Linked DNA regions of Callithrix jacchus. The protein of the gene in region 4 interacts with the protein of the main gene of each other region in a biochemical or structural test. Links are inferred from orthologs where the notes say so. Each region holds a gene or a part of one and is shown on either strand. Other genes may lie near its edges. The genes, in order: PDGFB, PDGFA, PDGFC and PDGFRA.

Evidence for each region.
Region 1: the proteins of PDGFRA (region 4) and PDGFB form a complex in vitro, tested with the Homo sapiens proteins (3 studies listed by BioGRID). The link is inferred for Callithrix jacchus from reciprocal best matches to the Homo sapiens genes PDGFRA and PDGFB.
Region 2: the proteins of PDGFRA (region 4) and PDGFA form a complex in vitro, tested with the Homo sapiens proteins (2 studies listed by BioGRID). The link is inferred for Callithrix jacchus from reciprocal best matches to the Homo sapiens genes PDGFRA and PDGFA.
Region 3: the proteins of PDGFRA (region 4) and PDGFC form a complex in vitro, tested with the Homo sapiens proteins (2 studies listed by BioGRID and IntAct, with this or other methods). The link is inferred for Callithrix jacchus from reciprocal best matches to the Homo sapiens genes PDGFRA and PDGFC.

Annotation. Positions count from the first base shown.
Region 1 is NC_133502.1:210,042,347-210,050,433, reverse strand, and holds the start of PDGFB (platelet-derived growth factor subunit B), read left to right. Parts: upstream 1-2,974; 5' UTR 2,975-3,971; coding exon 3,972-4,034; intron 4,035-4,624; exon of another isoform or gene 4,625-4,681; intron 4,682-4,826; exon of another isoform or gene 4,827-4,941; intron 4,942-8,087. UniProt on the Homo sapiens protein: Growth factor that plays an essential role in the regulation of embryonic development, cell proliferation, cell migration, survival and chemotaxis. Potent mitogen for cells of mesenchymal origin.
Region 2 is NC_133503.1:58,740,221-58,748,286, forward strand, and holds the start of PDGFA (platelet-derived growth factor subunit A), read left to right. Parts: upstream 1-3,218; 5' UTR 3,219-3,416; coding exon of another isoform or gene 3,417-3,468; coding exon 3,469-3,540; intron 3,541-3,710; exon of another isoform or gene 3,711-3,880; coding exon of another isoform or gene 3,881-3,977; intron 3,978-4,746; exon of another isoform or gene 4,747-4,897; coding exon 4,898-5,027; intron 5,028-6,435; coding exon 6,436-6,528; coding exon of another isoform or gene 6,529-6,532; intron 6,533-8,066.
Region 3 is NC_133504.1:39,644,525-39,651,492, reverse strand, and holds the end of PDGFC (platelet-derived growth factor C), read right to left. Parts: intron 4,325-6,968; coding exon 4,208-4,324; 3' UTR 2,742-4,207; downstream 1-2,741. UniProt on the Homo sapiens protein: Growth factor that plays an essential role in the regulation of embryonic development, cell proliferation, cell migration, survival and chemotaxis. Potent mitogen and chemoattractant for cells of mesenchymal origin.
Region 4 is NC_133504.1:142,480,708-142,488,325, reverse strand, and holds part of PDGFRA (platelet-derived growth factor receptor alpha precursor), read left to right. Parts: intron 1-152; coding exon 153-268; intron 269-2,006; coding exon 2,007-2,133; intron 2,134-3,138; coding exon 3,139-3,332; intron 3,333-4,488; coding exon 4,489-4,583; intron 4,584-4,802; coding exon 4,803-4,935; intron 4,936-7,572; coding exon 7,573-7,618. UniProt on the Homo sapiens protein: Tyrosine-protein kinase that acts as a cell-surface receptor for PDGFA, PDGFB and PDGFC and plays an essential role in the regulation of embryonic development, cell proliferation, survival and chemotaxis.

The DNA.
Region 1 (8,087 bases), on a different chromosome or scaffold from region 4:
CACCCAGGCTGGAGGGCAGTGGTGCGATCTCGGCTCACTGAAGTCTTGAACTCCTGGGCTAAAGGGGTTCTCCCTCCTGCCTCAGCATCCTGAGTAGCTGGGGCCACATTCAACTTTTTTTTTTTTTTTTTTTTTGGTACTTTTTTTAAAGAGATGAGGTCTTGCTATGTTGCTCTGGCTGGTCTCGGACTTATGGCTGCAAGTGATTCTCTGGCCTCAGCCTCCCAAATTGCTGGGAATGCAGGCGTGAGCCACGGCCCCGATGCGGTGTTCTTTAGAGTCTGCTCCCCTGCAAGGAGAGGGTACAAAAAAGAGGATTTTAGCACAGCACTCAGGCCCGGCTGGCGTGCAGTCCCTGCCACCTCTGCTGTGCCCTCTGCTGCCACTTCTAACCCATGTACTGGCACCTGCATTGCCATGGTTTGCGTCTGTCTTGCTCAGAGCCTGGGAAGTCCCTGAGTGCCAAGGCTGGGTCTCCTTCCTATTCCATTTCTCAGGGCTTCACCCAGGGGCCGCACACAGTAGGTGTTCCACGCTGCTGCTCCTAGCAGCCTTCCCTCTCCCCCAACTTGTACCTAAGTCAGAGTTCATACAGGTCCAGCATTTACTTTTTAGCCGGCAGAGCATGTTCCCATACATGAATGCATGTAGTGTGCACCGAAGCAAGCCCAGTGTCAAAAGTGTCATCGTTGTCATCAGCATCACCCACCAGAAAACAGCACAGCACGGTGGTTTCAGCATGTGGGCTCTGTAGCTGGTCTGCTCAGATTCAAGACCTGGCCCTACCACTTATGGGCTGTGTGACCTTGAACAAAAGTTTCTTGGCCTCTCTGTGCTTCCGTTTCCCCATCTGTAAGATAGGAATGACACATCTCACAGGAGTATGGAGAGGCTGCAGGTAGAGTAAGGAAAACACTACCTACCGCCTTAGCTCACTACTCATGGTAGCTGCTACCATTCTATTTATAGAGCAGGACACAGAAGTTCAAGGTCAAGATGACCCAGCTATCTGGTGGAACAGGGTTTTTATCTCTGAGTTGTTAGACCTTAGATTTCAAATACAGTGTTTAGGGATAATCTCCTCCTCCCCTTGCCCCACCTCCCTTGTCACCTTGTCTCCTAATTTATCTGTTTATACATCTGGTTGTCCTTCTCAACGGGGCTCTTCAAAGATAGGGGCCTGAATTAGGTTGGTTCACTCCTGTCTCCCCAGGGCCTGGAGCAGTGTGGGGCCACCAGTCAACTCCAAGGCCGCATGGAAGAAGCCACACACTAGCTTCCTGCTGAGGTGTTCTGCTGAGCACCACATGGAGGATCTCATGGGCGCCTCCAGACCACTCTACGAGGTGGGTGAAAATTCTCTACGTATGTCCTGAGGTACAATAAAGTGCACACATTTTGTTCTGATGTACGTATCCACCCACAATCCCATCACCACCATCAAAAATGACAAACATTTCCATTACCCCTAAAATTTTGCCATGCCTCTCTGATATCCCTCGCCCCTTCCAATTCTAGATTTATTTATTTTTTTAGAGATAGGGTCTTGCTCTGTTGCCTAGGCTGGAGTGCAGTGGCACAATCACGGCTCACTGCAGCCTCAAACTCCTGGGCTCAAAGCCTCCCAAGTAGCTAGGACTACAGGTGTGTGTCACCACACCCAGCTCCAGTTTATAAAGGAGGACACTGAGGTGCTGAGAGGTTAAAAAACCTTCCCAGAGACACTTGTCCAGCGAGTGGCCACTCCAGGATTTGAACCAAGGTGATGTGTCCTCAGGCTGCCTCTCTGCCACTGTGCCATGCCGCTGAGTAGCAGTCAGCAGTGGGCGGGTGCCTGTAGTGGTCTGTAAAGACCACCTGAGATGTCCTCCCTCCTCTGTTCCACCATGTCCAGGTCCATGAAGACAGTTTAGGAAGAGACTGCAGGTGTGACTCTCAGTGTGCTCCTGTATGAGAAGCAGGCTGGCACCCCAAAAGGAAGGATGGATGACAGACAGAGACTGTGTAAGCAGAGGAGGTAAGGGGGCCGGAAAGCCCGGAGGCTGGGTGATGCAGGAGCCTGCATGTCCCGAGGAGGGTGCTGGGCCCAGCGTGAGTACGTGTGACTGTGACTGAGACAGTGTGACTGCTGAAGGCAGGGACATAGCAGCTCCCTGACTGGGGGCGGAAGGCGGTAACTGTGTGAAGGCTGGTTGTGGGTGGGTGGGCTCTGGGCCTCGAACCCGGGGCTGAGGGAGATAGTGAACAGCAGGGTGACTGGCGGGAGGATCCTGTTGGTTGCCCTGGGAAGATGCCGCAAGGCTGTGGGAGATTGTGTGACTTTGCAGTTCAACACATTCAAATTCAGCCAATGCTGGCAGGGCCTGTTGTGCCAGGCAACCGGCGAGGAGGAGGAGACTCGGACCCAGCTTGCAGCTGAAGGGCGCTGGCTGCCTGGTTTTGTGGGTTCACCTTGTGGTGCCTTTTGCCCTTGCTGGCATTTAGTCCTCAAAATAGCCCCATCCTCGCGTTGAGGCTAGATGGAGGGAAACGGAGGAAAGTGACTAGCCCAAGGTCACCCAAGTGCCAGGGCAGGACCTGAATTCAGGCTCCCAGGCTGCAAAGCCTGAGTCCCTCCCCGCCACGCCTGTGCCAGGGTGGAAACGTCTGGTCCTGGAGGGGAGCTTGGACTCCTGGCCTTGGCTCTGGAGACATCCCCCTGGACCACGTGGGCTCCTAACCTATCCATGGTCACTGTGCTGAGGGGCGGGACGGTGGGTCGCCCCTAGTTCTTCTTTCCCTGGGGCCAGATTCATGGACGAAGGGGCTGCTCGGCTCTCAGAGACCCCCTAAGCGCCCCGCCCTGGCCTCAAGCCCTCCCCCAGCTCCCGCCCCCCTCTCCTGGCTCTGACTCCGGGCCAGAAGAGGAAAGGCTGTCTCCACCCACCTCTCGCACTCTCCTTCTCTTTATAAAGGCCGGAACAGCTGAAAGGGTGGCAACTTCTCCTCCTGCAGCCGGGAGCGGCCCGCCTGCCTCCCAGCGCGCCCGCAGCCTCCCCCGCTGCCTCCCTAGGGCTCCCCTCTGGCCGCCAGCGCCCATTTTTGATTCCCGAGATAGAGATATTTTGCGCGCACACACATACATACACGCGCAAAAAGAAAAAAAAAAAAGCCCACCCTCCAGCCTCCTTGCAAAGAGAAAACCGGAGCAGCCGCAGCCCGCAGCCCGCAGAGGACGCCCAGAGCGGCGAGCGAGCAGGCAGGCAGACGGACCGACGGACTCGCGCCGCGTCCACCTGTCGGCCGAACCCGGCCGAGCGCAGAGCGGGCACGCCGCGCGCGCGGAGCAGCCGTGCCCGCCGCCCGGGCCCCGCGCCAGGGCGCACACGCTCCCGCCCCCCCACCCGGCCCGGGCGGGAGTTTGCACCTCTCCCTGCCCGGGTGCTCGAGCCGCCCTTGCAAAGCCAACTTTGGAAAAAGTTTTTTTGGGGAGACTTGGGCCTTGAGGTGCCCAGCCCTGCGCTTTCCTATTTTTGGGGCCTTTCCAGAAAATGTTGCAAAAAAGCTAAGCCGGCGGGCAGAGGAAAACGCCTTTAGCCTGCGAGTGAAGACGAACCATCGACTGCCGTGTTCCTTTTCCTCTTGGAGGTTGGAGTCCCCTGGGCGCCCCCACACGGCTAGACGCCTCGGCTGGTTCGCGACGCAGCCCCCCGGCCGTGGATGCTCACTCGGGCTCGGGATCCGCCCAGGTAGCGGCCTCGGACCCAGGTCCTGTGCCCAGGTCCTCCCCTGCCCTCCAGCAACGGAGCCGGGGCCGGGGGCAGCGGCGCCCGGGGGCCATGCGGGTGAGCCGCGGCTGCAGCGGCCTGAGCGCCTGATCGCCGCGGACCCGAGCCGAGCCCACCCCCCTCCCCAGCCCCCCACCCTGGCCGCGGGGGCGGCGCGCTCGGTTTACGCGTCCGGGGCCCCGCGGGGCCGGGCCCGGAGTCGGCATGAATCGCTGCTGGGCGCTCTTCCTGTCTCTCTGCTGCTACCTGCGTCTGGTCAGCGCCGAGGTGAGTTGCCACGGCGGCTGGGGCTAGTTCTTCATTCATTACCTTCGCCCCCACCTTCTCACCGCCCCCTCCTCTCCCTGCAGTGAACTTTGGACCCTTGCAGCCCGCGAGCCTGACGCCGGGCTCTGGGTGACCTCCTCGGGCTGGGAGCGAGGTCCGCGGGTGACAGGCTCTAAGGGAAGGCAACAGCGGTGGTTTTCTTTCCAACCGGCGGGCGAACCTGGCTCCCTAAGCCATTCCGCGTCGGGGGAGGGTGTGTGTGGCCCTGCCCCCCACCCCTCGGGAACCCGAGAACAAGCCCGTTCCCGGCCGGGGAAGAGGGGGTGGGGTGGCGCCCCGGGTGCAGAAGACAGCGCGTCCTCCCGAACCCACTTCGGCGCCAGCCTCGGCTTAGGCTCTGTCCTGCCACCGGCTTGCCCAGGAGGTGCAAGCTTGCGCACAAGTGCCATCCACGCCGATCTCTGGCGGGGTTCAGGTCCCACCCTGGCTCCCGGTGGGGGTCCGGGTGGGCGCCCTCCGGCACGCGCAGGGCATGCCCGGCCCCAAAGCACTGTCTAGAAGCAGCTTGTGTCTCGAGCGCGGGGACTGGGGGGTGGGTAACCGGGAGAGAGAGAGCTAGAGGGCGAGACGGAGGGACAGAGGCGCAGGTAGGTTTCGGGCACTCGGGTAGGGGAAGAGCTGAAGGAATAAGGGGCTCTGAAGGAATCCAGCCCCCGGGGCGCTGTGTGCCTGAGGCCTCGCCGTACCTGTGCCCGCGCCCTGCGAGAGGAAGCACCTCTCTCCCCCGCATGCAGGGTGCGGAGCGCGCCGCCTGCAAAAGCCTAGCTGCACAGGAGATAGGGTATAAAAACATCTGCGGGAGCGCTGGGGTCGGAGCCGTCCCCACCCCTCCCAGCCTCACGTAGCGGTGAGTTGGCAAGTCTCCCCGGAATCCAGGTGGGAAAGGGGGCGGGGCGGGAGGACGCGCGCAGTGAAGGGGAGGAGAGGGCAGCCGGGAGCGCGGCGTGCCTGGGTCCCGTCCCACCCCCGCCCGGCCGCGGCCAGGAGTCCCCACCTCGCCCGCACCTCTCCGGCTCCCGGGGGGTCGGCCCCTGCAGCCTCCTGCCAGGAGCAGGAAGGAGGCAGCGGCGGCGAAGGGGTTAAAGCAGAGGGCTCGGAGTCCGCGGCCCGCCGTTGGGCCGCCGCCAGCGCAGGTTGTTTTGACCACGGAGGAGCCGTCGCCGTCTCCTTTTGTTCTCGGGGCTCCTCGAGGGCCGCAGGCTGCCCGCCCGGGGGCCCCGCCCTTCCGCGGCGGTCCTCAGCGGCCGGCACCCGGGAGGGAGGACGCGGGTCTCGGCCTGGCCGCCTGTAGGCCCCTCCCGACACCCCCTCCCCTCCTCTCCCGCAGCCCCCCGGGCCGCGGCCAGCTGTTGGGGAGGGGGTGGCCGGCCGGCCCCAGCTGCCGCCTCGCCTCGCCGTGGGACCTGGGGGCTGGGCCCGGTGCCAGGGCGTCCTGGGAACGGCGGCGCCCCGCGGCTGCTCTCCGCAGCCCACCCCGCCCGGGCCCCCGACTCGCTCACTCACCCCACGCATGCACACTCCTGGCCGGAGGCGATGCTGCGCTCCGGCGGGCGGGCGCGCAGAGCGACGGGCACGCACTACCGCGGCCAGGTCGCGCGCCCGCCGCCGCCACGCCCGTGCACACGCGGGACACACGCGCGCGCACCGCACACAAACGCACGCACGGCCCCTGCACGCGCTGTCTAAACACACGTGCGCGTACACCCACGCACGTACACAGGCACGCATGGACCCCCGTGCACCCAGCGCCTGGTGCTCGCCCCCGAGCAACAGGTGGGTCCCCCGTGGGCACCGGCACCTCACCACCTCTGTAGTAGCTCCATTTCCTTCCTGGCGTCCTGTGAGGGAGGAAGAACCTCCCATGAGGCCCCAGCTCCACGGCACCCACTGTTTTTTGCCTTGTCAGGTCAGCCCCTCAAACCTTACCCATGTACAACTGCTTTTTTTTCAACCACCTCCTCGTGGCGGAAAATGGTGGTGATGTGACTCTGAGGGGCACTGAGGTGTCCAGACCGATTCCCGCCTCGCATAAGCCATTTCAACGTGCAAGGCTGGAGGGACCTGGCCTGGGCAGCTGCGGAGAAGGCTCCCACCCCTGTCTGCTTCATTCTCTTGGCTGATCCCAGCGTGCCCCTGGGAGGCTGCTGCTGACAGCTGGATGTTTCCCCAGCCTCCCCTTACCATTTCCAGCTCTGTCCAGCACCTCCTCCTCCTTTCCCACAGCTCTGCAGGCTCGTGTATCTGGGGTGGAGGCTGCCGCACAGAAACTGCCTTTCTCCTCACTTTTGTCACAGCATTCTTGAACACATGGCCACAGGCACTGTGTATGTGGTGCTTTGCGGTTTATGAAGCACTTTGCTGCTAAGCCCGAGTAAGCCGCAGGCTAGCCCTAGGGGAGGAGACCTGCATGGGGATCACAGCATTTGGGGGCCAGTCTGGGAAGGAGCTGTGATGGCCAGTGCTGGGAGAGTCGAGGCAGGCCTGCTGGTGGAGGAGGCCTTGGCCACCTCCTGGTCATGCTTGGACCAAGCTTTCAGCGGAGGGCAGGCAGCCCTGAGGCAGGGCTGGGCGGAGGGTCTGCTGAGGCCTGTGAGGTGCCATCGCCACCCGCTGAGCTGGTTTCCAGGAGGGCGAGTCCCGCTGTCATGACACGTCTGGCCTCAGCACCCTTCTCTGGAAAAGAGTGAAGGGCTCCACAGCGCTTCGCCACCCAGCTTCCTCTGGGTTTGCTAATGGCCCTAGGGTGCAGGAGACCGACTGCTGGAATCCCAGAGCCCTGGAGGTGTGCAAGAGCAGGTCAAACAGAATTTGGAGGGTCTGGTGCAAGAGCCAGGAAGTGTGTGTGTGTGTGTGTGTGTGTGTGTGTGACAGAGAGACAGACTGATTGAGCAGGAACGCTGAGATGTTTACAATGGCCTCATAAGTACCTCTCCAATCTTGTCTTCCCCTCCCAGCATTGAGGAGCCTCTTCTGTGGCAACTCTTCCCATGTTCTGCTTTATTTCATTGCTTATTACCTGCTTTCCCCACTGGAATGTCAACCCCATTGGAGAGCTTTCCTCCTGGTCCCCACTGTTAGAACAGTGCCCAGAGCACTGTGGACAATCAGCAACTATTTGTGCAAAGAACAGTGAGTGCTGGGTTGCGGGGGAGGACAGGCCCAGGCCTCCTAGGTGCTCCAAGGCCCGAGTGACTCCTCTGCTCCAAGGGCAGCCCCCGCTTCTCGGCCCTCTGGTGGGCATCAGTCTTTCAAGGTCCCCCATCTTTAGAGAGAAGCATGTCTTTCTCTTCTCTGTCTTGGGACTTGGGCTGCCAGGATTAGACAGGACAGAGAAGAAACAGAAAGAAAATCAGACTGCAAAGGTTCTGTGTATCTTTAGCTGGGGCTAAGTTTCTGCCACCTAAAAAAAAAAAAAGAGAGAGAGAAGACTGGATTAGCTCAGAGTTTCCAAACTACGGTAGAATCCCCTGGCCTCGAGCTGGGATGGGCATAGGCAGTGACTGCTGTGGCTGCCAGTATTATAAATGGCTGGACTGGTTCCTCTCTTCCTGCTTTAATTTCCCTCTGCTCCTGCAAGAGGTGGGGAGGCCAGGGTGCTGGGCCCATGTGAAGGAGTGGAGGCTGAGCACGAGGGTCCCAGGAGCAATAAGGAAGGGCAATACAGTTTGGAAACACTGGTTCTAATGGCTTATGTGGTTTCCCCCGAGAGGGCTTCTTTGAAGGAGTTGGTTGGCTTTGGCATCTGATCTAAATAAGGCCTGCAACTCTCAAGCAGGCAGGCTCTGGGAGGCCTCATCAGCTTCTTCCTCTGCCAGACAACGCCCCTGGTTGCTTTGGCCTGTGTCTCCCTCGGTGGGAACAGCAGGCGGGCTGGGGAGTGTGTATCAGTGTGTGTGTGCTGGGCCTAGGTGGAGGGTGGGGTTCCAGCCCCTTTGATCTGCCAGCCTGGTTGGGAGCAGATCACTCACCTGGCCTCACGCTTGCTCGTGCCCT
Region 2 (8,066 bases), on a different chromosome or scaffold from region 4:
CTGGGGAGTGTGAACTGGAAAGGCCTGATCCCTAGTCACTGGGGGCCTGAGATAATGACTTAATTAACGCCCGCGCTGGACAGTTTTGATCTTCAAGGAGTCCAGCCCACGGCTGGGTTGCTTTTGGATTAATTGCCTAGAAGGAAGAAAGCCTTGCCCAGAGATAAAGGGGAATGTGGGGTTTCGTCATTACAAATTGTTCTGAAATCTGCTCTGGCACGGGGGACAGAGGCCTGGATTCGGGCGCCCAGCTGGCCCTCCCACCCCCACCCCAGGGGCACACAGGTGGCCAGGAGTGTCCTAACCCAGGGCATCCCAGTGCAGCTTTTCCTGGGCGGGTGAGTGGAAGGAAGGTTTCCTGACAGAGGACACAGCTGTGCGTGGTGATGCTGTCGGCTTCCCATGTTTCAGAGGAGGGAACGGACACCCAGGGCAGTCTAGGGACAGATCTCATCAAGGCCAATGTCAAGGGACAGAGAGCAGAGGGAACTGGGATGGGGGGCGGTGTTGGCTGCTACGTGGTTCCCGAGTGTCCACAGCGTCATTCCTGTTCCTGCCTGTCCACTCCGGTTATAAATGCCCCTGAGAATTGAGGATCCTATCTATTCATCGAGGTTGCAGAGGTGCCCTGGGGTGCCGAGCCCTGCTGCTCGGGACTCGGTAATATGAGAGGCAGCAAGTATGCGCTTAGCGTTGATATGTGAGTGTCCATGAAATTATACAAGGAAATAGCTTAGCACTTGGTGCAATTGAAGTCGCAGTAAATGTCAGCCATTACTACTACTACTAAATTACGACAGGAATAGCTCTGCGTCCAAGCCGGGACGGCCCCGGACGCGCAGCCTCAGTGCGTACGAGGGAGAAGGGTTGGGCTCGGCGACAGCCTATTACCTCTGCAGCCCCCTATCCTGAGAAATGGCCAAGGCTCTTCCCGCCCTTCCTGGGTGCCAGGGTCGGTCCCGGGGAGGGCGGAAGGGAACCAGTCACGGGCACACGTCCGGCCACCCGCCCCGGCTGCGCGACAGGCCCCCTCGCTCGGCCTATTTGGGTCACCTGACTCACGGTAATTATGGACCCGCGGGCACGTCGGGGCGCGCCGGGAAAGGCAGGAAGCACCGGCTCCGGGGGCGACCGGACATCCCAGGCCGCCAGGTGCACCGCGCCTCCCACCAGCAGCTCCCCGCACCCCCTCCCCGCAGCGCCGCCACTTCCACCAGGGGCCCCGGGCACACCTTGGGGCGCCCACGGACTCCTAGACGCGCGCCGCAGCCCGGGGTGGGAGTGTTTCTGGGGAGGCGCTCGGGGCGCGTCTCCTTCCCGCAAAAAGCCAGCTACCCCGGGTCGGCGCCTCTGTCTCCCGGGCCTGGGCGGGGACGCTCCGCGGAGCCCAGAGCGCAGTACCCACGCGCCCAGGCCGCGGCCGCCCACGCCTCCTCCGACGCAGGAGTATATTTAGCCTCATTATCAAATGTTTGCAGTGAACTGTGTGAACCGACTAATAGCGGCTGGAAGCGAAACTCGATTCCCAGCCAGAAAGAAGCATGTGACCGCCCCCATCTGCAAGGAGCGCTCAGGGCGGGCGGGGCAGGTGCTGCAGCCTCGGCGCACAAAACCCGCCGGTCGGGCTCGGGTCGCACCGTCCGCTCCTGGGCCGGGCACCCGAAACCCACCTCCTCCCTCCGCCTCCCTCTCCCGGGGCTGAAATGAGGACGCTGGGAGTGTGAATGGAAACGAAGGCCGGGGAGGGGGTTCCACGTGGGCGCGGGTTTCATCCAAGCCAGTGACCTCTTGGTTAAGTCAGTCCTGCGATTTCAGCGCCCAGCCCCCGAAAAAAGCCTGTGGGGGTCCATGTCTCCTTGTTTTTTTCTGGGGACCCGGAGGAGAACGGGGCGGGACTGATAGGGGATCCCTGTCCCATGCCGTGTGGGCTGCGGGCTCTGGGGCACGCAGTGCCCCAAGTCTCCCCCGAAGGCGGCTGTCGCGCGGCTGCATAAGTTTTCCCCTCCCTCGCACGGCCGCTGTTGTTGTGGTCACCATGGCGACGGGTCGCGGTTTTATTTTTAATAGCGGCCGGCGATTAGAGAGATGCCTGCACCGCTTTCGCCTAAGCTCTGCGTCCCGCGGGTGATGCACCCACGCCCCACCCCAGCCCCCGCCTCGCTCCAGCGCCGCTTCCACGTCCTCAGGTGGCCCTAAACTCGAGCTATGCACACCCGTAGCTCCAGGACGGGCTGGGGAGCCGAGGGAAGCACCCATCTAGACCCCCAAGAGGCGGCGAGAAACACCAGGACCCAGCCAGCTGGGACGGGTCCTCCATCCCCAATACAACGCGACCTTCCTCCTTGCTTTCCACACCGTCACCTAAGTCTTCTACCCCAAAAAGGTGTTTTCGGCCCCCCTCTGCCCACAAGGGGTCCGAGACCTAGCAGGACAGGGTGCGTGCGACTCCGGAATAACTGACCGAGGAATGAGGCCGGGTCTGGCTCCTCCCAGAAGCCATCCAGTGGGCGTCCCCTCCCGAGCCGCACAAGTTCCCCCTGGAGGGACGAGACTTGGCTTTCAGGTGCTTCTCAACGTGTCCGGCTCCCGCGTGGTCCTGACTACCCAGAGGGGGTCTCGGGCCGGGGCTGCGGCCAGGGGAGGGAGAAACCTGGGAGGGGGCCTGCAGGTGTGTGGCAGGGCGTAAGTAGACGCGACTCACTGGGAGCAGTGAGAGAGGCCCCGCCTGCCACATATCTGGGGGAAGGCGAGAGCCCCCGAAGCGCCCTCCGGACTCGGCCTTTGAAATGCTAGAATCGGCGGAGCTGGGGATGAAAGACCGCCCGCGGGCCTGCGCCTTAACCGCCTTTGTCTAGAGGAAGGGCGGCCGCGGCGGGGGCGGGGGCTTAATCCACGGAATTGGGGGTGACGGCTGGGGCGGGCGTAATTCTCCTCGGCTGCCCACCCACGGGAGCGTCTCCTAGTCTCCAGAGGCCTAGACCGTCTCGCTTGAGGGTCTGCACTGCGCGCTTCCCCCCCCCCCACCTCCGCGCTGAACCCGGTACCAGGGCGCGTAGACCCTCCGGCAGGGCACTGACGGGCATCTAGACCCGGAGTTCGGGTCCAATCCCACCTGGTCTAGGGAGGCGAAATCATCCCGCCCTGGCGCACTCGCCCTTTTTCGGCGTGCAGCCGTCTAGCCACGCTCAGACCTCGGCCTCGGCGCGCGTTCCTCCCACGCATAGCGCTCTGAGCTGCGCCTCGGCCGGAGGTGGCGCTCTGCGAGTCCCGCGGATCCCGACGCCGGAGGCTCAGAACCCGGGGACCCTCACCGGTGCCTCCTTTTTCTTCCAACCCCTCGACTTCACAGCTCAGAGCGTGGCCCTGCCTTTGGCGCGGGAATAGGGGTCTGGGGGGCGCGGGGTCCCAGGGTGGGGATGAGACGGGCTGCAGCCCCTTCCCCCGACCTGGGCTCGTTCCCAAGTGGAAATGTGGGTGGAGGGTCCTCATTCAGAAGCCCCGGGCTTCGGATCCTGGGCGGGGGCGCGTGGCGGCCGCCAGGTGAGTGTCCCAAACCCGTCCCCCGCCTTCCCCAACGGCTGACTCCCCCTCCTTTTATGGAGAGGGGAAGGCTGGGGCCCTGGATCCCAACCGTGGAGAGCGGCCGGAGCGCCGGGGCGGGGGCGGGGGCCGGCTCTCTCGCCCTTTTTGGCGCAGCAGCTCTGGGCGCTGCCGGCTGCCGCCGCTGGGGCCCGAGAGAGGCGAGCCGGCGACGGCGGCGCTTCTGCGGCGGCCTCCTCCCTCCCCACCCGGTGCCGCAGGATTGCAGCTGGCACTGGAGGGTGGGCAAGATTGAGGGAGGGGCGCGGAGCCCCGGCGCGGAGCTGGGCGCGGGGCTTTGATGGATTTAGCTGCCTGCGCTAGCGCGTGTGTACGCCCTGCCGCGGCGGCGGCGCCCAAGCCCTGCCGGGTCCGCACGAACCCCGCGTGCTTCCGAGGTGCGGGTCCGGGGCCCGGAATCCGGGGGAGGCGGGGGGGGGGCGGGGGCGGGGGAGGGGCGCGGCGGCGGAGCTATAACCCTCTCTCCGCCGCCGGCCGGCTCCACACGCGCGCCTTGCGGAGCCCGCCCAACTCCGGCGAGCCGGGCCTGCCTGCGCCTCCTCCTCCTCCTCCTCCTCTCCCGGCCGCTGCAGCGGCGGAGGCGCCGGCTGGGCCCTGCGCCCGCCCTCAGGCCCGCGCGGGCGGCGCAGCGAGGCCCCGGACCGGTGGCGGCTGCCAGGCAGCTCGGCCGCGGGCGCTGCCCGGCCCCGGCGGGCGGAGGGCGGAGCGCGGCGGCGGAGCCGAGGGCGCGCCGCGGAGGGGCGCACGCAGGCCGCCCGACCGCGCCGTGCTGGGCCGTGTTGTGCCCGGCCGGGCGGCGGTTGCGAGAGGAGGCCGGAGGCGAGCGCGGGGTCGGCGGTGGACGCGCAGGGCCGCTGGCAGCCCTCAGGGAGAGCGCGAGCCCGTAGCCAGGGCCGGGCGTCCAGACAGGTGATCGGTGGCGCGGCGGCGGCCCCAGCCTCCCTCCAGAGTTCTTCTCGGGGACCGATGCCCGCAAATATTCAGAATTACCGGCCGGGTCGCTCCTGAAGCCAGCGCCGGGGAGCGAGCGCGGCGGCGGCCAGCACCGGGAACGCACCAAGGAAGAAGCCCAGCCCCCGTCCTCCGCCCCTTCCGTCCCCACCCCCTACCCGGCGGCCCAGGAGGCTCCCCGCGCGGCGGGCGCGCACTCCGTTCCTCCTCCTCCTCCTGGCTGGCGCTGCCTGCCTCTCCGCACTCACTGCTCGCGCCGGGCGCGCTCTGCCAGCTCCGTGCTCCCCGCGCCACCCTCCTCCGGGCCGCGCTCCCTAAGGGATGGTACTGAATTTCGCCGCCACAGGAGCCCGGCTGGAGCGCCCGCCCCGCGGCCTCGCCTCCCCGCCGAGCCGCCAGCGCCTCGGGACGCGATGAGGACCTGGGCTTGCCTGCTGCTCCTCGGCTGCGGATACCTCGCCCATGCTCTGGCCGAGGTGGGTGCCGCCCCCGCGCCCAGTCTCTGCGCCGGCTCCCCGGCGCACACCCCCGGAGCCCGCCCGCCCGCCGGCTGGGACGACACGGGCTCTGCAGAGAGCATTTCGGTTTCTGCTAGGGTGGTCCGTGTTTAAATTTTCCCAACTGGGTTCTATTTTCTGCCATACCTAAGTGTGTGGGGAGTTTCCAGCGTGTTGCGTCGCTCTGCCTCGGGGGGAACCGGGGATCAGCGAGGTGGACGAGTGGGGAGAAACTTCGGGGGGCGCTGGGGCCTCTCCGGAGAAGGGGAGCTGGGGCTCTGCGGGCGCTGCGGCAGCGGGGTGTGGGGAGCGGGGAAGGGGGTGTGTGTGTCTGTGTGTGTGAGCCGGCGGTGCCTGGGGAGGAGGGAAGGGCGCCCGATAAACAGGTAGGGGCGGCTGCTGCGGAAGCCCCTGGCCGGTAAAGGTGGGCAGCGCCGAGCCGCAGCCCCCGGGTCCGGGTGCCCGAGCCCGGCGGGGCTCAGGGGCGACGCAGTCCCGCCCGCCCGGGCCTGCTTACAGGTGGCTGAGCGAGGAGAGCTGGGGCCGGACCTGGCGCCCGCACCCTCCCACCGCGGCGTCCCCGCCCCCCCATCCCCATCCCCATCCCCGGGAGCTTTGCTGTGATGAATGACTTTCCACAGCCCCCGGCGTGGGAACTTAGTGCTTCAGGCTCCCCAGCGACCCCCGACTCTCCTTAAAAATCAAGAAGGGAATTGGGTGAGGCCAAAGGTGAGGGTGGTCTCGGCGGGGCCCGGAGCTGGGCGAGGTGGAAGTTTAACCCTCGCTCTCCCTGAAGGCTTCTCCCAGCCGCCCGCAGGCTGGATTTAGGCATCTCAGTCGGCGCTAGGGCCGCGGCTGGGCCGGAGCCCGGGGTGGGGCGAGTGTGTGAGTGAATGTGTGTGCGCGCGTGTGTCTGCGCGCGCGCGTGTGTCTGTGAGACGGAGAGACCTCTCCGCGGCTTCGGCCCGGGATTCCGGGCGTGAAATTTAAGCCCTGCCTGGATTAAAGTGTGAGGGCTGCCGTGACTCTCGCTGATCCGTGACGCATTTTAACTTGATCTTTCTAGATGTTGATCTCACTCTTAAATCAGAAACTCCCGGCCGCCTAGCTGCCCTCAGATCTTCTGTAACTGACACCCCGGGCGGAGGGGCCGGAGTGCGGGGCTTTTGTTTGAAAATGTAAAGCGGGGGGGACTTTGATTTTGCCAAGGGCAGACCATGGACAGGGGTGGAGAATTCGTGGTCTTCTTCCAGCCCCACCCCCGGCTTCTGGTTCCAGGGCCGGGGCGAGGGCTCCCTGGGGTCTGGGGCCAGGGCTGCGGCCGGCGCTCGCGGGGTCTCCTCGGGCCCTGGGCCGCGGGCGCTGACCCTGTGGTCTCTGCTTGCAGGAAGCCGAGATCCCCCGCGAGGTGATCGAGAGGCTGGCGCACAGTCAGATCCACAGCATCCGGGACCTCCAGCGACTCCTGGAGATAGACTCCGTAGGTAAATCGCGCCCCTTCCCTCGGCGCGGGGAGGTGCGGGGCGGGCGGCCTGTGCGTCCCGTGCGCCCCGAGCTGGGGCCGGAAGGGGCGCCGCACAGCGCACCGAAAGGTCAGAATCCAATCCCCGGCCCTAAGCGCCCAGGCGGATGAGTCAGGAGTTTCTCTTTCAATCGCCACTTTCTCTCCCAGTCGCGGTCGAGGGCTGCTCGCTCGCCCAGGGATTGTTTTCGCCTTGAAGGAAAACGCCGCGTGTGTCACAAAAAGTTCAGCCTCGGCGCCCTCGCCAGGTGTGCCGGCCCCGTGCCTGCCCTGGGGCCGGAGGAGCGTCGGTAGCCCGCCCAGGCCCTGGGCGCGGAGCCCTGGCTAGTGCGCCAGGCGGGCAGCCCGCGGAGCGAGGCCCCAGGGGCAGGCGCGGCTACCTGACCCAGGGGCGGGCGGAGTCCGCCCCCGATCAGGGCCCGGCCCCTTTGTAATCCCTGGGAGCTGGTGCGGCGTTCTTGCCGCAGGGCTAGGCCTTTGTGGCTTCGGGAGGCCGGTGTCTTTCTATGTTCACTACCTAATAAAAAGCCGGGACTTGGACGCATCTGCTGCCTGGGGGCTATTTTTGCGTCTCACCCTCAGGCCCTGAGGCCGAGCCACTAAAGAAAACAGTTTATTTGCAAGGACAGAGTTTTGGGGCGAATGTCAGCTGCAGAGCTGGACTCGACCCGGGTTGGCAAGGGTTAAAGGGGCTTCTCACACCCGGGGGACCCCGGTGGACCACGTTGGGTGGGAGGGGCGGGGGTGTAGGGTGGCCGCCCGCCCCCTCGGGGCTAGGTAGCCCCTTCCCAGAAGGCGAGGTCTTTCTTCCAGGTCCTTGTGGCGCCCTTTTCAAAATGCACACTTGGCTGGGGAACTGCAATCTGAGCTTTAACCAGGGAAATCCTCGTGTGGCAGAACTCGTTAGCTGATTTCAAAATGGGCCTGCGATAAACTTGTTAAAAAGAGTAGCTAAAGGCAGCAGAACTGGAAGAAGTTACATGAAATGAAGACTTTTCTCTCCCTGCAGAGGACTCTGGAAAAGGGGAGGGTGTGGGGGGATTAAGTGAAATCACATGGTCTAGTCATTTGGAAATTTGTACCTAATTATGGTGGTGGAGAGGCCTGAACTATTTTCGTTTCATGCCAAAACCATTTTCTAACAAGGCCGATGGTTTCTGTAGTTTCTTGACCCAGGAAATCCCTGGGCTGATCCTTATCGGGGCGGTAGTGTTTCACTCCAGAGCACAGTTGGGCGGGGGGATTTTGATCGGGTCCCTCCATGGATAACTCTGGGGAGAAGGATTTGGCTCTGGTTTATGTGGGGGGGGAAACACTTGCCTGAATCTCGCTGGTCTTGGATGCGTTTGGAAAAGTGGGGAGACTGCTTTCCTGAGAAGGTTCAGGGCTATTTTTTGGGGGGGGGGTGGTGCTCGCAGATGAACCTTCTCCTGGGACTGTCTTTGGAAGCCGCAGGGAAATGGGCCATTCACTTTCTGCTGGGACTATTCTTATTC
Region 3 (6,968 bases), about 100 Mb from region 4:
AATTTCTGTAAAAAAGCCATTTGGGATTGCATGTGTAATTAAAAAATATATTAATAACTATTAATATAGTTATTAATCTGAAAATATATACTCTACAAAAATGGTAAAATTCTTCTTTAAATTGCAAATAAATTTATATTGGATAAGATTTACTGTAATAGGTTAGCAGTTTTGAAAGAAGCAGAATATGGTACAGGTAGTGTGCAAATGCTGAGGCAGAGAATAAAGAGATATAATTAGTATTTTAGTAAAGTGTGAGGAAAGTATTGAGCTAGGTAAGTGCAAGAACAGTGCCTCAAAAAGAGAACATAGTTACGTGTTAGCATGGAGATATATGGAGACATTGGTATTTTCAGGAAACTAAGTGTTTACTAGAGCTGTATGTTAGGTTTGATGATGCAAAATCAGTCAGCAATTTTTTAATCAGTCAGGATTATTCATAAGGAAGTTATAAATCATCAATCATGGATATTTTTATATGTTCATATTTTAAATACAGTTTTAAATTCTGAGAAAAATTAATCATACTATAGAACAAATATCTAAGACACAATGAATGATGTATTAGTTAATCTCCTTAACTTTAACAGTTATCTGAGATACCTGGGGGTCTAATGAGAAATAAAATGGGGAAAAAAATGGGAGCAAGTCATTGTAATATGACAATATTTGTGATTGAATATTCCTGGAAGCACAATGGCAGTGCTGCCAGTGGAAAGGAAGGTGGAAAAGAGCTTCACTGTACAGAAATGGAAAGGGAAACAAAAATACAAGAAATATCAAAAAGTCAAAGTCACTGAGACTTCGTAATAGATTACATGTGGGGCATGTATGGAAAACAGGATGCAAAGCAATTATTCATTGCAATGGATTGTTTGTATCCCTTCAAAGTTGTATTTGAAGCCCTAACCCCTAATGGGATGGTATTAGAAGGTGGACCCTTTGGGATGTAGTAAGGTCATGAGGGTGGAGGATTGTGAAGGAATAGCTTGTGCCCATACAAAAGGGTGCACAGAGAGTTCTCTCACCATTTTTTCTACAAAGGGAAGACATCACAGAGAGGAGAGTCTGCAATTCAGAAGATGGCCCTACCAGAATCAGACCATACTGGTGTCCCGATCTTGGATTTCCACCCTCCAATGATGAGAAATAAATTTCTGTTGTTTAAACGCTTCCCAGTCTATAGTATTTTGTTACAGCAGCCTGAACTGACCATGACTTTTCCTACTCCTTGTTATGAATGCAAAGAATGTTATAATTTTAACCGTCTTTATAATGCATAATTGAAACAGTTTAAAATATCAGAAGGGAGACTATCACGTTATCCTTTTAGAGATAATGATATTACACTGAGTGTAAAACTTGCATTTTCTGCCTTTTGTTAAACCGAATCACAAACCTAAGTCAATGCACCTGGAGACAGGGAGGCACCGAGGCTAACCAAATCATGCCAGATATTTCTCCAGTGTAGCTTCTCGTTACTTTGGTCTTTGCACCTTTTCCACGTGCACATGAGAATTATTAGATGAGGGAGGGGATGTAGAAATGAGTTGCAGAAATGAAAAGTGTGGACATGAACACCTGCCTTATGATATTTAAGAATTGTTTAAGAAACGTCATTTGGCAGCCCATGACTCGAGGACAAAGGCATGAAACACACAGATATCATATACAAAGCAGAGTGTGGTCAATACAGTCAATACTTACTGGACTTCTCAGAAATTGGGTCACACGTGCTATTTATGTATTTTTTTCCTTTTAGTAAAATACACAGGATCTATGAGTAAGTGATTATAAAGTGGTTAGTCCTCACATGGTAACCACTCACCAACCAGCAACAGTGTGAGGACTGCTACCTTTACAGTATCTTCTGGCTGTCAACATTGTATAAGTAAACAAAAAATAAATATTAAAAAAGGGAAAAGAGATTGGAAACACTGGATTAAACATAGTTAAACAGGCCATTTACTAAGACTTAGTGGTCTTTACTATGCTAATGAAAGTTGTAAATTGCCAACTACTTTGCATATTCCATGGAGCTATATCTAGTTGGCCTCTATATGGATAGCACAAAACTAGGAAAAGGTAAGCAAGTAAGGCAGAACACATAGGCTCGTTTTGTTCCTTTGTTTTTCATGTAGTTGGGGGCAGGGTAGACCTGCAAGGTGTGAAAGCACAGGAGAAGGGTGGTTGCCTGAGGAGTCGGATGAAGACAGATGGCCTTGGACACTAGACATCTCTGGCAAATTGAAAGGCTGAGGAAATGATGCTGAAGATACCAGCTCTGAATAAGAATCTATGTCTGGAATTGAGGAACCACACCTTGATGTGTGCTATGTAAAATAATCTATACACCAAATCAATTTACGCTCACCCTATTTAGTAGTGGCCAGTGACAATGAAAACAAGAGTGGAAGCTGCCAAGCTTCTTTTTTCCAGTTTTATACTACCATATAACCTATCACTAAGTATTTCATAAACCATACAACAACTTTCAAGTCAGGTGAAATTTAAATTACCAGAAATCTGTATTAAGACACAATGAGAAAAATAAAACCACTGCTCAAAGGCATTGGAAACAAGAAGCAGAGAAAGGCTCACAGAAATACTCCATTTTTTGTCCTTTGAATTGACATATGCTTTTGCATAATGAAAATAATAACACAATACTTTATTGCTTTCATTTTCTCAGAGTCCAAGAGGTAAATCTTGAGTGCACACACACACATACACACACTTAATTTTCTCCCCCAAATAGCCACATTCTTTTATTTGATGATTCAATACATTTTTAATTCAAATAGTCACCACATAACCTAGTTACGATATTAAGCATTTTACAAGCAAAATAGTTTACTGATTTTCAATTGCCAAAGAGTACAATAAGTGAAATGGTTAAAGGTGTACTTCTGTACATAAAAATATCCATGTATTTATATAAGTGTATGGAACAGAGTGCAAGGTCATAAAACTGTTACATCACAATAAATAGGATGTGTTCCTACAGCATAGCACAGCACGCCTTGCTGGGAAGCGGCCAAGTCTTTTTCAAGGTGCTTAATGTTCTTCTGAGCTAGGCTCAGATTTCCCCAAAAAAGGAATAGGTTAGTAATGGTTGGATCTGAATGTCTACTTTCATAAGTTGCTTTTTATTTTCATCTCCAATAACAGGAATGGAAGATATCATAATTTAAGTATTTTCAAAAAGTCTTTGCAACTTACCAATTCTATTGATTTCCAATTCAGTTTTTGAAAATGCAGAATAACTCTAGCACCATACGAGAATGAAATACATGTATTTTTGTCAGAGCAACAATATTTTATATCATCTTTGTTCCTCTGGCTATAACAATTCTGTTTAGAAAAAATTTATCAAGCTAAAAATAGTTGATCTAAGTTGTCATAAAAAAGAATATTAAATACCTTTGGTAAAAATAGATATTATTTAACAAGATTAGAAAAGCCAACAGTTATAATGTCAAAAGGAGAATATAAAAATGTACACAATAACACAAATAAACTGACTTGGAGATAAAGTGAAGATAAGGCCACTCTTGTTTTCAGGTTTGTCTCTTCCAAACCATGAATTTAGTTCTCTTCTTCTAAATGGCAGAAATTTTAATAAGAAATATGAAAAATCCAGTCTTTCCTATCAGCATGACACAAGTTTAATTAATAGCAACATAGTTCCTTTTTAAAAACTAGGTTTGTAGTAAGTACATAGAATGTTCTCATTTACTTATGTGAATATGAGAAAAAAATCCAGATTTTATATAATTTTAGGTCCAGAACATGGAGCTTTAGAGTTAAGCAAGACAACAGAATCAGGTGCTCACTTGCACAGTTTTTTCCTCTACTGACATTACCCTAAGCCATATCAAAACATCTGAAATACAGAACGCAGCTAGTGGAATAGGTACACGGTAACTCTGTAACTAGCTGGTGATCTATTTAATACAACATTTAATTTTCTTTCCACGATTGAAGAACTTTTCTCCTGTCCTTTGGGCCTCCTCTCAAAAGAGCTGTTGCACAACTCCTAATTCTGTTTGATGACTCCTCTTTCAGAATGCACTGTAAATCCTGAAGATGAAAGGTCCTTGAAGCAAACAAATGAGATTAAGGATGGAGATAACATGTAAGTTCTCTAACAGAATCAGCCACTGCTCTGCACAGCTCTGGGCAAGAGCTGCTGGTGGTCATGTGGTTATCCTCCTGTGCTCCCTCTGCATACACAGTCACACTGCTCATGGTGCTCCATGGCCACATCGGTGAGAGATTTATGCAATCCCTTGACACCCGTCTTTGGTCTCAACTGCAGGACCTGAAAGGGAACAATAGTAAGCCACCTTTAAAAATCAATGTCTATGACTTGCTTTTATAAACAAGTAATGTTTTATAAAAGAATCTTGGGGCCCAACAATGACTCAAATTTTAATTTTTCCAAGAGGAGGCATTATGGAAACACTTCCCTACCAAAAAAAAAATAATTCATAACTTATCATCAGCATTTCAGGTAAGGACAGACATTCTAATGCCAACAATTTGGAAGCATTCTGTCTCCGAATAAGGAACAGTACTTAAATGGAAAGACTCACCATGCAATAGTTATTTTCTTTATCTGACTATATTAGAGAGAATTTCACCTTCAGTATTTTGGAACTACCAATACACAATTCGTTTTTCTGTTTGTTGCTTTCTTTCACTTATTCATTGATTCACACACTTAACAAATATTTATACTTGATGCAATACACTCAAGTACAGAAATTCTGTGGAAAGAAACATGATCACTCCACAGCTGAGTTTGCTCAATTATGCCACTCATTAATTTTCTTGGCTACACTTCAAGTCCTCTATAAACTTGATGAGATGGATTAGATGTACTTCATAGACATCAGCTCCAGTCTCAGCTAACTTCCTGCAGCTGGATCCTACTGTGCAGTGAGAAGAGGTTTGGCAATAATAACAATAATGCCTCTATTAAATAAACTCATTTGCAGTTTGGACTGTCAAGGGTTTTAGTAAAAATACAGCAAGATTGACACTTACAGTACACATATTTCCCCTTAAAACTATGACAAAAAGATATAGTTGTGCATTCTATAAAATATTATTTGAAGTATTTGATTTTGCTACCTATTTAATGTATTACATTTTATTTCTTATGAGAGAAACAACAAAGTTTAAGAAATTGTATTTTGTTTGGATTATGAACAAAGGCTAGAGAACAAAATAATATGAAATTTTCTAGCATCTCTCCTTTTTGGATATGAGATAGATAATGTCATAAAGCAACTTCTAAAAGCTATTGTTCCTGAAAATGTGCATTAATCCAAAAAGGCACAAGTCAAGTCTTATGACTGTTCTATTTAGAGACTTAAAAGAAAAACAGAGAATGCGTACCTCGCTGGAGTATGTGGTAATATCAGAGGTTAATTAGCTAACATTTTTTGAATGCTTACTGGGTGCCAGGCACAATAATAATGTTTTTACATACTTTAACTCAAAAGAATCCTATGAAGTAATTTACATTACCCCTATTTTACACATGAGTGAACAGAGGCTTAGAGAGAATAAGTGACACCGACTTTATTTGTACTTAGGCCAAAGATGAATTATTAAATTAGAGTGATGGATAATAATTTTATAGACTCAGAATATTACTGCTCAAACATTCTATTTATTTAGTAACTTTCTTCCTGAAGAGATAAACTTCAAAGTCTTGTAATAACTATTAGAAATTGTAAACTTTTAAAGTAGAAGTGGTTTTCTCATTTATTTCACAATTCTAGAATAAAACTTACTTAAACTTTATTTTTTTAATGTGATATTTAACTCAGTGATTACTGAGTACTATTTTATGTTCGTACCGATGTACTATTTTTCAACAATTTAGGGTGGGATCAAGCTAGCTACATTTCAGATACTGGCACTATTCCTTATCACAGTCTTGCTCCAAACTGTTTCTGGAATGAGGCTGGGTGGGTAAGATAAATTAAAATATTGGCAAAGCCAGTGTCTTTAATTCCTATATCTACCTGTATGCATTTTCCATTCAGCAAGGAAAAAAATTACTATGTAAGGTAAAGGTTAGAGAGGCTACCATACACAGTCCTAGCACTCAGAAAGGCCAAGCTGCAATCCTTGCTTCCTCTAGCATACATATGCCAAGATGCATTTGCTGAATCAAAGTCCCCTGTCTTTGTCTGCTGATGCTCATGGAGATTTACATAGAGTAGAAGAATCTCCTAATGTTCTAGTAAGTTTAGTCTTAGATAAGAAATTCTAATGGTGAAGGACACAATTAATGTTCTTCTTTTTAATTCGTTTTGAAAGTTTTGACTTGGAAGAGAAAAGTAGACTTGGAAAATGATTAGCAGGTTCCAGAAAATATTAAAAAGGAAAAGGACATAAATTATGCCACCAGAAAAGAAACAGGACAGAAGTTCATCTCAGAAAATTTAGAGGTTGAAATTAAAATAATTCCATGAAAAGTAATGTCCAGGGAGAAGCTGAGTCAGAGATTATGGAAGATACTAGATCAGACACAGAGAACCAGCAAAGGACAAGTGCTTATGGACCACTGCTCAACACTTTCAAACAAAATGACCTTAAACTTCTGAGAACCACAGAGCACTGGGAACAGAGACTCGGTATTAGAATAAGACAATTGAATGGTATACCTCTTTAGGTCTGCTTGTTAATAATAGCCTGTAAGACTATTATTTCATAAAAAATTAAATATGTAAAAATATAGAGAAGATGAAAATGATTACGCAAAGAACAGAGAAAATGGAACAAATACTATTGTCAGAGTGTCCTGTAGACCTTTTGGCCAGAACACCTTTCCTCCTTCAAGGCAAAATTTATAAAATCTTTCCTGATCATTTACTATAATCAAAGAATAAGACTAGGCATGGTGAAAAAGTAAAGATGAGTGAGACAGTCGTAAATATATATTAAGG
Region 4 (7,618 bases):
AAATCCAGAAAAGAGATGATATGGACAAGAAAAAAAAAAAGATGACTTTACTTTTTAAAGTAAAAATAAAACTTAATTGAAGAGTACAATTGCTTAAATGATTGGAACTTACTTAGCTACTGCTTGTTGAAACAAAATCCTCTTTTTAAAAGGTATCGAAGCCAATTAAAGCTAATCCGTGCTAAGGAAGAAGACAGTGGCCATTACACTATTGTAGTTCAAAATGAAGATGATGTGAAGAGCTATACTTTTGAACTGTTAACTCAAGGTATGTAAAGGGAGTGTAAAGATAATGCTAGCTGTATAGATGAGTGTCTTCCAAGGAAAGTCTGGCACTTTTCTCCCAAGTCATAGAAGAAAAGCAACACTTAAGGGAGGAGCAGTGTCTGTAGATGTCACGTATCAGGGATACCTTTGCTGGACTCATGAATTCAGGTATTTCTGGGAGGTTCTGGATTACTCCAGAATAGGTGGGGAATCCCTAGGCTCCACTAGCTTTCTTTATTTATGTAGAGATATAGGGTCTTGCCATGTTGCCCAGACTGGTCTCCTGGGTTCAAGCTATCCTCCCACTTTGGCCTCTCAAAGTGCTGGGATTACTGGTGCGAGCCACTGCATCCGGCCTCCACCAACTTGCTTGGCACCCGCTTCTCAATATGGCACCTCCAGATCTGAGAAGAGAGAAGTGATACTTTTTGGTTCAGATGACCTTAGATTGTTCTGGAGAGTTTTGCTACAAATTTTCCTTGAAGACATTGTACAGTGGTCCCTACCAGAATGGAAGGCCCAAGTCTGTTTACATTCAGGCTCAGCAACTATCCTGAGTCCCAGCCATGTGCCAGGTGCTGTTTGAGGTGTGCTTATGTGATCCTTGCAGTAAAACCTGTGATACAAGTATCATCGTATCTCTAATTTATTTCACCACAGATATAGAGAAGAATCTTTAAAACCTAATAACAGGCTGGGTGTGGTGGCTCACACTTGTAATCCCAGCACTTTGGGAGGCTGAGATGGGTGGATCACGAGGTCAGGAGATTGAGACCAACATGGTGAAACCCCGTCTCTACTAAAAATACAAAAATTAGTTGGGCTTGATGAAAGGTGCCTGTAGTTTCAGCTACTCAGAAGGCTGAGGCAGGAGAGTCGCTTGAACCTGGGAGGTGGAGGTTGCAGTGAGCAGAGATCGCACCACTACACTCCAGCCTGGGTGACAGAGTGAGACTTTTTCTCAAAAAACAAACAAAACCCCAAAGTATAATATACCACAGATGCATTTTGGTAAATGCTGCTTTAGATTATACTTTAGCTGAATCCATTAATTGAATCCTAAGCTATAATATAATGTTAAGAACCTCCTTGCCTTTCAAGCCAAGTAACCAGGGACTTTCCCTCCCTCCCTGATTCTCTCCCTCCCTGCCTACCTCCCTACTTCCTTCCTTCCTTCCCTCATTCTTTTCTTTTCCTTCCCTCCTTCCCTCCCTCCATCCCTACCTTCCTCTCTTCCTTCCTGCCTGCCCGCCTTTTGTTCTCTTTCTCTCTGCTTTCTTTCTTTTCTTTCTCTTTCTTTCTTCTGTTCCTTTCCTTTTCTTTCTTCCTTTCTTTTCCCTCTGCTCTCTTTTTTCTTCTCTTTTCATTCCCTTCTTTCTTTCTTCTCACCATGTTGCCCATGGTTGCCTCAAACTCCTAGGTTCAAATGAGTCTCTTCCACCTCAGCATCCCAAGTAGCTGGGGCTACAGCTGTGAGCCATCATGACCATGGGCTTCCCACTTTCTTCACTCCAGGTTTAAAACATCACAGACATAAATCTCAAAACCCCAAAACTGTGAAAATGCTGCTAACCAAGTGTGTCTGTCTACACTGGAGTGTTACTTGTACAACTGCTTTCAGCCCCACTGGAGTAGTTTGAATGGCATGTGGATGAGTCGTGAACTCATATTCCACCTTGTCGTCCCACATGTACTGGGACAGGAACTCTTCCATTCTGACTTCTTTCTGCCTCTTGCAGTTCCTTCATCCATTCTGGACTTGGTTGATGATCACCATGGCTCAACTGGGGGACAAACTGTGAGGTGCATGGCTGAAGGCACGCCGCTTCCTGATATTGAGTGGATGATTTGCAAGGATATTAAGAAGTATGGAAAATAGACGTGTCTTCTTTTGTGGCCAGAATCTTTCTCCCTTGACGCAAATGATGTCAAATACATTTTACTTATTGACTGTAAGATAGGGTTTTGGGTGTGATAGCTTCAGGGTGTGTATCTTTTGTCACGAATAGCTATAAAGAGAAGGTCTATGGCTTTCATTAGACGTTCAAAGTGTCTCCAATTTGAAAAAAAGATGAATTTTAAGAACCGCTGTCCTAAGGAGATTTCTACTACCCTGGCTCAGATTTCTTATTTGGTGAACTTTGTTTGGTGGCTGAACTGCATGTAAACATAAATGTGACTGCTTAGTCCCTCATCTGCCCACCTGCTGTTTGGCAGGTTAATTCGCCAGTCCTTCCTCCCTCCCCCAGTCCTCAGACTTCTGAAATGGGCACATAAGCACTGTGTTTACACTTTATCCATGGTAACTGGTTGTGTTGAGAAGCCTCAGTTGCTTCTTCCTCTAGACGGAGACCCCTTATCTTAACCTAGGGCTAAGGATGGATTGGATGTCGTTTCTAGAAGATTCCAGTGTGGAGCAGGAATCTAGGTCTTATAACTCAATCCGAGGATTGCCACAACCGTAGTGACACCTTAGGGGCTCTTCCCAGTGTGGGTGGTGAGAAGGGAGGGCTGCAGGCCATTTTGAAGGGGTGAGAGATTGAGATTATTAAATATGGTTGAAATTGTATTGTTCAGTTTGCTCATAGGTTCAAGACTGGGGACTGGTCATCATATTTTATTAAACTTGTTTATCCCTACCTGCTCAGTAAACAGTTAGCTTTCAGTTGTTCATGTGTGAGTTATTCCCTCTGGAGCATATGCAAACAAGTTTTAATGTTCATTCACATGTGAAATAAGTCAGCGTATAGTGCCCCGAAATGTAGACCAGGTCCCACCCAACCTCTTACCATCTTAGAGAGTTCCCATGGCTCCACTCATCGCCATGACTCTCGGGAATTGGCCCTATACTTAGGCCCTTTTTCTCTTTAGATGTAATAACGAAACTTCCTGGACAATTTTGGCCAACAATGTCTCAAACATCATCACGGAGGTCCATCCCCGAGGCAGGAGTACTGTGGAGGGCCGTGTGACTTTCGCCAAGGTGGAGGAGACCATTGCGGTGCGATGCCTGGCTAAGAATCTCCTTGGTGCTGAGAACCGAGAGCTGAAGCTCGTAGCTCCCAGTGAGTTGCTCAACAGTCAGGACGACTCATCAACTGAGCCCTGTCTCCCCACCATCCCATGGAACCTTGAATCTCAGATAGGGTCATATAGGAATGAAGGTCCTATATGAAATTCAGTTATGAATGCCGTTAAAGGCATCTGGGACTTTGCTTTATTTTTTGAGAGTCTTGCTCTGTCGCCCAGTCTGGAGTGCAGTGGCGTGATCTTGGCTTACTGCAACCTCTACTTGGGACTTTGTTTTAGATTCAGATCCAAAACCACATCTTGCAAAGGCCCCTCAACATTTTACTTGTCTAATAATTTTGTTTATCTAATAAATTTGTCTAATAATTTGGCTTGTCTAATAATTTACAGTCTCTACTTTGAATGTCTGTGTATGTGGATGGAGTGTGGGAAAGAAGGATCTTCTGTCTCATTGCTCCTTAAAGGGAAGATGAAGACAAAAGCAATATAAGCAAAATTCAACTTAAAAAATAAGCTTTATATTAAAGTATATGAAGTAGAAGTTTCTGCCCATATAGTAACTGTCAGTTGCATTTATCCATCTTTTTTTTATATGGAGTTTCACTCTGTCACCCAGGCTGGAGTGCAATGGCATAGGCTTGGCTCACTGCAACCTCCGCCTCCCAGGTTCAAGTGATTTTCCTGCCTCAGCTTTCTGAGTAGCTGGGACTATAGGTGCATAACACCACACCCAGCTAATTTTTTTTTTTTTTTTTTCATTTTTAGTCGAGACAGGATTTCACTATGCTGGCCAGGCTGGTCTTGAACTCCTGACCTGTGATCCACCCACCTCAGTCTCCCAAAGTGCTGAGATTACAGGTGTGAGCCACCGTGCCCAGCCTGCATTTATCCATCTTTATGATTCCTATTCTAATTCTGTCCACAAGGTTACTATTGGAACAACTTTGGAGAAAAAATACTGAGTTTTCCTGATTGAATTTTGTCCTCTTCTTGTATAAGGAAAGAGTTGATGTAGTTTCCTGGGTGTAGATGTTTGAGAGATGGTACTGCCTATCCCTAAAATGAACCAGGCAGCCCTCACACTTCCCCACCAGCATGAGAGATTCCTGGCTCAGACAGCCACACCACCTTGTTGCCGCCCGTGTGTCCTTGAGGAAACTCTCCATTGTGCCTCTCTCTCTTGTCACCTAGCCCTGCGTTCTGAACTCACGGTGGCTGCCGCGGTCCTGGTGCTGTTGGTGATTGTGATCATCTCACTCATTGTTCTGGTCGTCATTTGGAAACAGGTAGGTATTTTCTCATAAAACTAAAGATCTTTGAAGCCAATGGTAACGAGAAGAATAGCAACCAAGTTCAGTGCTTGGCACAGAGAAGGGGCTCAGTATTTATATGTGGAGTGTTCGTTGTCGGACTCTACTTTGTCCAGTCTCTGTGCTGTTTCAGTGAAGCTCTAGTGCACTGGAACTTGTGGTAACTCACCAGTTACCTGTCCTGGTCATTTATAGAAACCGAGGTATGAAATTCGCTGGAGGGTCATTGAATCAATCAGCCCTGATGGACATGAATATATTTACGTGGACCCGATGCAGCTGCCTTATGACTCAAGATGGGAGTTTCCAAGAGATGGACTAGTGCTTGGTAAGTTCCATGGGGGTGACCGCCCAAGACTCCCTTTTCCCTTGCACACAGCTTTACAATTTAGAGGCCTTGGCAGAATAGAGATCTGAGCTCGTGCTTAGTAAGAACTAAGCAATAGAAATTTGCTTTCGGAAATATATTTCCGTCTTGACAATGAGTTAATTGGATCATTGCAATGATTTTTTTTAAATCTCATTTCATAACAAATTATGGTTAAAGAAAATTTTACAAAGGGAGAAGAGAATATGAAGAGGGCTGGCAAAGATACCCACCAAAATTGCTTTGCTTTAGAAATGACACAAACAGAAAATGAGATGAATTTCTGTGACTAAAAACGAGCAGTTGAAAAATGAATGAGGACAACTGCAAAAATGTATTTTGATTCTGTACATTCTGAAGATGCATTAGATATTCTTTTTTATATATTTGGAATATGGAATATAAAAATATAGGTACATTTTAAGGCAAAATGTGTAAAAATAAGGAAGCCAACTTATCACAAGCATTTCAAATATTTCAATCCTGGGCTGAGACCAAGTATGTGAAGCTTTAGTCCAAGGGAATATTTCTTTTTTAAATCACATTCCGAATGAATGAAAACAAGACACAGACAAATGAAAGTAGAGGTAGAGGTTGTGTTAGATGAATGATCTAACAGTATATATGTTAACGAATGCCAAATGCAGGTTTTAATTATCCACCTGTCTCATTCCAAAATACAGAAGAGTTTAAGTCTTCTTAGAGAGTTACTTCAACTGAGAAATCAAGCAAGTCACCAGAGTGAAATCACCTTTGCAAAAATTGTAACTGAGGAAATTATGACAGTGAATGAGATACGATCCAATCAACTCCATCTTGCTTTAGCTTCCAAGCTGTCCTCGTTCCTTCCTGGGCATAGGCCGAACCGACTTTGAGAGGAACTTGGTTTATAGTTTGACTTTGATAGGAAGACAAGAACAGCCCTTTGCCCAAACAAACCCTCTTCTTGCCTGGGAACTAGACCACCTTTGCAAGACTAACAAATTAACTACAAGATTAGAAAAGATGGTTTAAGAATCACTGCTGTAAAACCTGAGGTCAGTGCTTGAGATATTTTAGAGACCCTGTATTTCAGTGCACCAGCTGACACCACCCAGGTCTCATCTGATCTTGTGGCCTGTAACTAGGAACTGACTCAGCTCAAGAGGCCAGGGTCAGCTACCTATGATTTCATCTTTGACCCAACCAATCAGCACTCCCATTTCACTCTCTACCCACAAAATCATCCTTAAAAACCCCATTCCCTCAGTTTTCAGAGACACTGATTTGAGTAATAATAAGATTCCAGTCTCCTGTACAGCTGGCTTTGTGTGAATTGAACTCTTTTTCTATTGCAGTTCTCCTCTCTTGATAAATCCGCTCTGTCTAGTCAGTGGGCAAGGAGAATCCATGTGTGGTTATAAGAACTGATCCCAATTTCAAATACTTATATCTAAGCATTCTTTATTTTCTTGCCTATTTCCCAAAAAGGGATGAGGAGCTTAGGGAGTTAAAAAGTGGTAAAATAGGCCAGGCATGGTGGCTCCTGCCTGTAACCCCAGCACTTTGGGAAGCCAAGGTGGGCGGATCATCTGAGGTCGGGAGTTTGAGACCAGCCTGACCAACATGGAGAAACCCTGTCTCTACTAAAACATACAAAATTAGACTGGCATGGTAGCGCATGCCTCTAACCCCAGCTACTCGGGAGGCTGAGGCAGGAGAATCGCTTGAACCTGGGAGGCGGAGGTTGCAGTGAGCTGAAATCGTACCATTGCACTCCAGCCTAGGCAACAAAAGCGAAACTCTGTCTCAAAAAAAAAAAAAAAAAAAAAATAGTAAAATGTGGGGAGAAAGGCACTATTCCCATTATACCAAGATACATTGCTGGCGAAGCAATACCTTTCGAGGTACAATTTCCAGTAACACAAGCATGCAGTAAGAGGCAGTATTGGCTGTTAGTGTCTTTGATGAGCCGAGTCTTTCCCTGGCTTGCCTATCCATGATGAGACTGACACCTTGGGAAACAGTTCTCGAAGACTGTGAACCCTTCCAGGGTGGGGACAGCAGCTTCAGTGTGCTCTCCGGCCCGGTTAGTTCCTGGTGGAGTAGCCTTCCTAACAAACAGGGAGCCTTGAGCCCAGCCTGAAGTTTTTACTTAGTCACTCCTTGGAATCAGTTATATTTTGAATACTGAAATATTTCCAGTGACTAAGAATTTACTAAGACAAAAGATGCCCCTGTTTGCATGTGGAAAACAGAAGGAGAGAGAACCAGGGGATCTGGGTGAGAGCCCCTGAAGGCGGAGGATCCCAGGGGCTGGCCCTGCACGCAGGGGAGCCGGTAGACAGCGGGTTCACACCGGGGAGGGATGCACCCTCCTTTCTCCGTCTGTGTTTTCTTTCCTTTGCAAATGTTATTTGACAAAAGCAATTATGCTAATTTCCTTCCCTGTGGGCTCAATTCTGTTTTTGACACCGTGACTTAGAGGAGTCATTATGCTTACTCCAAACGGGAAAGACGCCCTCCCGCCCAGCTGTCCACCCGCCGAGCTGGCTTCCGTGCAGAACGCTGAAGAGGCTTCTGGAGTTCTTGGGCGTTAATGATTCTGCCTGCCCACAGGTCGGGTGTTGGGGTCTGGAGCGTTTGGGAAGGTGGTTGAAGGAAC